Cricetulus griseus: one gene and its partner. The protein of the gene in region 1 purifies or fractionates together with the protein of each later gene. This does not show direct contact. Links are inferred from orthologs where the notes say so. Each region holds a gene or a part of one and is shown in the gene's direction. Other genes may lie near its edges.

The links.
Region 2: the proteins of Fyb1 (region 1) and Lcp2 purify together in Homo sapiens (co-immunoprecipitation; 6 studies listed by BioGRID and IntAct, with this or other methods). This does not show direct contact. The link is inferred for Cricetulus griseus from reciprocal best matches to the Homo sapiens genes FYB1 and LCP2.

What each region holds. Positions count from the first base shown.
Region 1 is NC_048595.1:340,308,701-340,312,455, forward strand, and holds the start of Fyb1 (FYN-binding protein 1), read left to right. Parts: upstream 1-1,058; 5' UTR 1,059-1,168; coding exon 1,169-1,198; intron 1,199-3,755. UniProt on the Homo sapiens protein: Acts as an adapter protein of the FYN and LCP2 signaling cascades in T-cells. May play a role in linking T-cell signaling to remodeling of the actin cytoskeleton. Modulates the expression of IL2. Involved in platelet activation.
Region 2 is NC_048600.1:49,258,425-49,262,079, forward strand, and holds part of Lcp2 (lymphocyte cytosolic protein 2), read left to right. Parts: intron 1-138; coding exon 139-151; intron 152-755; coding exon 756-885; intron 886-2,828; coding exon 2,829-2,878; intron 2,879-3,655. UniProt on the Homo sapiens protein: Adapter protein primarily involved in signaling pathways within T-cells, as well as other immune cells such as platelets, mast cells, and natural killer (NK) cells.

The sequences.
Region 1 (3,755 bases):
CCCTTCAGAGGAGTAGGCCTCAAGACCTATCAAGGGAATGGTTGGTTACCCCCACAGACAATCTTTTATTACTATTACACCAATGAGCATGTCTTGCCTGGAGGATTGGTATTAAAACATGTAGGGGCCAGCACTCCATGAGATCATTGATATATTTTCTTCTCAGCAGCCTACCTAGCAAGCACCTTTCAGAAGTGTGAAAGCTGACCAACAGGGAGAGTTTCCTGGACAGTTTAATTTTTATATCTCTGGGTCCTGAAACAAGAGTGGTGTCTTCAGCAATAGGATCTTACCATCTAGTTGAGGTGGGCAGCCAAGAGCCATGGTAATAGCCTGTACTGTTCTTGGGCCTCTCTGAACAATAACTCATAGGGAGGTAACTCATAAAGTCCAATGACTACTATTCTTAAGACACAGACAAATGAAGAACCATACCAATGACAATGTCTAATGAAACCAAGACAAAGATATTACCATGTGATGTAGCAAGTACTCTAATGGGGGAAAAAGAGTCTTGAGTATGTGGGTGAAATATGAGCTGAGCTTAAATACAGATGTCAGGCAACCCATGTGAAGACCAGAATGAGGCAGGTATGGACATAAGGAAAGAGGGATATCATGTGTGACTATAGATGTGTTCCAAATTAGTGAAAGAAAGCCTCACTTGTCTTTGAGGGCTTGGAATACAGTTCAGTGCTAAAGTGCTTGCCTAGCATGAGTAAAGCCATAAGGTCAATAAAAAGGGGGGAGGAAGGAGTTGGGTTACTTTTATCCTGAGGGTTGGAATGCCAATGAAATGCTTTAAGCATTTATCACAGGAATATATGATTCATTTATCACAGGAATATCTTGATGACAGTCCTATGGGGAAGGATCCCATTTGAAGAACAGTTCTATAAGAAGTTAAGGCATTGTCAGACAGGAAGTGAGAGGGGCAGTGGGGGAGGGGAGTGGTAAATTCCAAAGATCTTTGGGAGGGGCTGGGCCAAGCTGATGGGAGGTGAGAATGTGAGTCAGAGAAAGGAGGCTAATGCAGATTGCCTATGTCACATGTCGTAAGAGAATGGTGACTGTTGGGACACTGAGAGAAAAACCTATCCAGACATGTTCACCTGATGAGAAAGTCAGGAATAAGAGCCTCAGCAGGGAAAGGGAGACATGAGGACCCATGAAGGACAAGAGGCTAACAGGGAACACGGTGAGCTGTGGGGGTGGAGAGGGGGCCAAACCAGACAGGGCCTCTAGGTGCATACTGCCAGGTATGGGAACTTGCTAACCAAATCAAAAGGGTGGAGCCAGCAGGAAGGGAAGGGAGCATTGTGGTGTTATTGAAAGCCATCCCTGTGACCACTGTGACCTTCAGGATCCCTTACCCCACTCAAAAAAAAAAAAAAAAAAAAAAAAAAAAAAAAACTGGTCAAAACAATTCATCAAGAATGAAGAAAAATTGTTTCGCTTCTTGAATCTTCTATTTTAAACATTTTATCTTTTGTATTTCCTCATATTTCCAACCAAATGCTATAGTTATAAAGCAGTGCATGCTTTGTTGTGAAAAGATAAATTCTAGATAAAACAAATTAAAGTTCAAGGGGGGGGATCATAAGTCAGATATTAATCCTCCCATGTAGCCCCCCTCTCATTCTCTTTCAGATTCATAGGTGTTCTTTTTTTCCATTGTTGCTACTTATCTATATTTCTAAATACATAAATACAATCTGCTCAGTCTGCATAATACTACTTATATGTATATATCTCAGGGTTGACCATTTGGTATTGGATAATCAATTTGTGTTTTCCCTGGGAAAGACTTTCTCCTGCTCTCAGCATTCCATAGTGACTTGTCGTTCTTTGTGTAGGGTGAGGTCTCATGAACTTTTTTCTGTCCATGTTGTTTTTTTCTTTAAAGATTTTATATATATATATATATATATATATATATATATATATATAATATATGTGTGTGTATTAATTTATATAATTAATATATATATAATTTCACCTACCTGTGTTAGGACACCATGTGCAGTACCCATAGAAGCCAGAAGAGGGCAACAAGAGCCTCTGGAATGGAGCAACCATAGGCAAATTATGAACTACAATGTAGGCACTGAGAACTAAACCCAGGTCCTCAGGAAGAATAACCAATGCTCTTAACCACTGAGCCCTCTCTCCACCCCCCTCCCGATCTCTCAGTTTTAAGTCTTGTTCTCTGATGCAAATGTATTTCCAAGATCTTTAAAAGCTTTAAACTCCAAAGCTGCCCAGAAAGTTTCCCAGCTTTCTGGAGAAGCAAAATAAAGAACAGATGATAAAAATAATGCTGAAGTTAGAAGAAAAGGCAGAAGATGTTAGAGGAGAGCTACTGGTTTTTTGTTTGGGGTTTTGTTTTCACACATTACATAGGAGCCAATCGTGCATGGTGTGAGTTATGATGTTTCTCTTTATGCAGAAGTTTTGAGGTAAGGAAGAGGAAATGACCACAAAAGTCAAAGAAAATCAGCAGAACCCATGTCTGCTCTCCACTTCCACATAACCCACTTTCATCTTCATTACCAGTGAGTCTGGGCATCTTATAGCCAAACACAGCAGAGAGTAAGCACAGTGGAGGAATATGTTTCTTTGACAAACTATGATCTGAACACACTTGGCTCACAAGCCAAGCACGTAGACGTCGTGAGCTTTCACTGAGACATTCATTTGAACATCATCTGCTACACATTAATCTTGGCGGTGGAAGGGTGTGGCTCGGGCTGCCATACACTCGTCTTTTCAGAGCATTAGAGGGGAACGCAGTGCTATCAAACTACACTCAGATCCCTGGGACAGAGGAACCCATTGATCTTGGGCCAGGTGATTGCATTCTCAAATACATCAGTAAAGGCTTTCAATGCACACACAGTGGAACTAGTGTGGTCACCAGCACCATATCACCACACTTGAAATATGACTCCCTTGGCCATTGGTTTCCAGGTTGGTTAACCTATTTCAAGACTCAGGATATCAACTAAATTTTTTAATTGAGTAGAAATGTTATCATTTCTAAAAATTAAACAGCAATAATTTGCATGAAATAGCAATAATAAGTTCTACTTCTAATGTGGAAACAGAGAAACAAGCATATGGACAGGTAACAGGAGTGAACAGTAATCACTTTCCTGGTCAGATGGAATGGGCACAAGTTAGAGGTGAAATTTAGCTGGGCAATAAAGAGGGATACTGATATCCTAAACAGGCATTTGATCCTGGGAGTGATAATGCTGGGAGTAAAAAGGTTCCCCCACTTCCACTACACACCCTCCCAACTTACTATCTCTTCTATACCAACTTGTGGTCTATAATACAGCAGCACAGGATCATCATGGCTCAAGTTTCCTACCCCAGAGATACAGACAGTCATCACTTGCTTAAAACCACTCCTGTGGGAGTGGGAACCCTGAACATTTAGTAACATGTTCAGAAGTACTTAGGTGTCACCTTGGATTGGGTGGCAGATGGGAGGTCTGATGTTGACTTGAGAAAACTTTGAGTGATTTTATTTTTATCTAATTGCTCACATTTCCCTGTGGCTTATCAAAGATTTCACTGGGAAGTAACCACAAAAATAATGAAAACCGTATATAGTATATCAGTATCTTTCTAAAATTATTTTGTGTATGGTGTGTGTTTGACATGTATGTATGTCACAGGTGAGCACATTCCCTGGCATGCGTGAGGACACCTCTGGTGTTGGGTGTCACCTTTCATCTTGCTTGAAA
Region 2 (3,655 bases), on another chromosome or scaffold:
CAAGTCTCACACAAATTGCTTCCAAGCCTGCCTCCTCTTCCTCTTTGAAAACTTCCGCAGCTCACAAAAGAAGGGGTTAGTGCTGATGGATGCTTCATTGACAATAAGTTAATATCTTTTATTATTTTTCCCTTACAGGATGAAGATGATGGTATGTTTAGAGTTTTTTTACAACCTATTCTGTATTGAGTATGGAACACTGCATGTCAAACTAACATAAACAGGCATATACCAATTGCTACACCTCATGGCTGTAGTGAAAAGGAATTACTTGGTTGGTTTACCAAAGAAAACTTAGGTTCATGTGTTCAGAACACCTAACTGCACAGAAAATTGCATGTATGTCTTGGTAAAAAATTTTCTATTATTTATACCCTCTTACATACATGGGTCCAGAATCAGTAACTGTGGATGGACAAAATAGCATGTGGTTTTAGCTTTCAGAAGACAAAATAAAAATTTGAATTCACAACTTTCCCACTAGCAAGTTTCTTCCAAGTAAACAGTGCAAAAAATAAAATTAAAAATTCACTATAGAGAACAACAGCAATTTTAAGTGCATCCCAAGGTGGTGAACTATCTAGGAAAAAATAGGTAGGTTATATTCCTACCATTTGCTAATTATATCTGATCTTTTAGATTTTTGTCTCTCCATATCAACTGGTTTGGGGCTTGGGTTTGGTTTAAGCTTGGGGGTACTCCAAATATCCCCAGATTTGATTCTGACTACTCATTTTTTTCTTCTTCCCCCACAGTGCATCAGAGAACTTTGCCCCAGCCATCACTACCTCCTATGAGCTCCAACACCTTCCCCTCAAGATCTGCCAAGCCCAGCCCCAAGCACGCATTCCCGTTGTCTCAAATGCCAGGAATCTTCTCAGAAAGGTCAGGGATGACCACTCAGTTCTAAGGAAGTATAATGTCTGGAGTCTTGTGTTCTAGCTTCATTTATGTTGTTGTGACAAATACCTGACCAAAAAAAATAGCAGATAAAGGGTTTCTTTCACAATCTAAGGTTCTAGCCCAATATTTCAGGAAAGCCGAGGTTGGAACTCAAGTAGCTAGTCACATCATATCCATAAGCCAGAGCACAGAGAAATGAATGATCCCTGCTACCTGTTTGCTTACTTTGTTAGCTGCCTGGCCTTCTTCATGTATGCAGTTCAGGTCCTAGCCCATGAAATGGTATACCTACAGTGGGCTGGATCCTCCTACCCCAACTAACCATCAACACAATCCCCCACAGATCCACCCACAGGCCAATGTGATCTAGATAATTCCTCAGTTGAGCCTGCCTACCCAGGAGATCCTTGGCTGTGTCATGTTAACATTTGCAACTAATCAGTACAGCTTAGTGTTGTGGCAAATGTCAGGTGGCTTGAGGGAAAAAGAAATGAGCCATTGGGCAAAAACTGTCTTTCCTTTAAAGTGAAATGAGTTTGGTGAACAACCTGCAAGTCTAGTTGTTCTCTGAGTTTCTGAGCTTGAGGGGAGTGGGGAATGACTTGGTTCACAATTTGTCCCATGGACACATTGACAAAAAATGGTGGGTGTTTTCACTTGCTTATTTCAAACAAACAAACAAACAAACAAACAAACAAGCAAACATCATTAAGAAACCCAGTTGACAGCTGGATGGTGGTGGCACACACCTTTAATCCCAGCACTCAGGAGGCAGAGGTAGGCAGATCCCTGTGAGTTCAAGGCCAGCCTGCTCTACAGAGCTAGTGCCAGGACATCTAATGCTGTTACACAGAGAAACCCTGTCTCAAAAAGGAAAGAAAAAGAAAAAAGGAAGAAAGGAAGAAAAAGGAAGGAAGGAAGGAAGGAAAGAAGGAAGGAAGGAAAGAAGGAAGGAAGGAAGGAAGGAAAGAAGGAAGGAAGGAAAGAAAGAACCCAGTTAACTGAAGTTCCTGTATTCTCTCTTCCCCCCTCTAGGGAAATAGAGAATGTGTCTTGCATCTGACAGAGGCCAAGCACCCAGGCTTGGGAGCTGTCCTCAAAAGCATTGTTTTCCTCTAAAACTAGAATTTTTCGGTCACAATAAGACCACCCAGAAACAGAGGCATGGCCAGAAGAACCAAGCAAGACCCAGATCATCCCTGCGCAGGCAAGCCAATGGGCTGCCTTATGCTTCCCAGGGCCTCTGACCTGCCGGTCCACCAATGCTTTAGTATTCAAAAGAAGCCCAACTTCTCACTACATGCTGTGGAAAATGGAACCACCAGCACAACCAGTCCACCTCTGCCAACTCTCTGGGGAAATTCTTGAAGTCTTCCCTTTGCCCCAGGGTCCTATTGCCTTCAATTCTTCCCATTCATTCCCCCAGCTGGCTTTCTTTATTGCCATGTCCATGTGCACATTATCCCACACACAGCTCTAGCCCCATCTTTTGTTCTTGAAAACTACCAATGAGGAGACCAGGTGTGCAGAGCAGACCATCACTATTTGGGCTAATGACTGGTGTTGGTGCTTAGCATAGAGAAAACAGATAGCATTCCAGGGCCTCTGCAGATTTCCTTCCATCCCAGCCTTGTGAATGTCTCTCTGCATGCAGCAGCACCCATCACTTTCTTCCCCCTGGACCCACCCTCTCTCTGTAGACCAGCAACTCCTGGGGATTTACTGTTCACACACTCTGATGAGTGTGTCTTCCTTCCTTGGTCCTTCTATCGACTCAAAGACCCCAAACCACAGCCCCATTTTAAAAGTAACTTTTAAATTCAGTTTACAAGGTTTATTTTTATTGTTGCCTGCTTTTGGCTTTGAAGCCTATTAGACTTCGTCCATCTTGAGATACCAGTAAAGTTCTTTTTCTGTTTCTACAGTAACATTGGTTTCCAGCAGAGTGCCTCCCTGCCACCATACTTCTCTCAAGGTTTGTACACAATTGTGATCTCTGCCTACTAACATGTCCTTATGGTAACAGTGTAATGTGTCTCAACGCCTTTAAGCAAAGGCTGTTTCCTAAAAGTATATGGCTTCTTCATTTAACACTTAATTCAATGTCTACAAGGTACCAAGGGCTGTTGGAATGAGACACTACATGAAATCACACACACACACACACACACACAAACACATGTGCACACACCCACACACCACCACCACCAGCAGCAGCAGCAGCAGCAGCAGCAACAACAATAATAGCTGCAGGCCAGCCTTAGTCCCTCATCTTCCCACCCAGAGCTATGTCCCTGATGGTTTGATAAAGAGCTCAGAGCAGCACCTAGCTTCCTTGTTATCTTAAAGATGAATCTGTTCTCAGGCTGTGAATAGGGAAGCATATTCAAAATACAGATTACAAAAACCCAGCCCCAGAGATTCTGTATGAAACCAGATATGGTGGCTCAAACTTGTAATCTCCACCCATGGGAGGTGGATTAAGAGTCTAAGACAAAAATGTTTAAGACCATCTTAAACTAAAGAGCAAGTTTGCAGCCAGCCTGGACTACATGAGATCATGCCTCAGAAAAACAACACAAGTTTCTGAGTTAGTAGGAGAGGCCAGAGGCTTTCCTTTTCTAATGATGCTGCCACTGAGTGTCCACTGTGAATGTTCTCAACATTCAATGTACATACAGATGCCTGGCAATCATGTTCAAGTGGATCTAATTCAGGAGGGCTGGGTGTCACCTGAGATGGCATTTCTAGC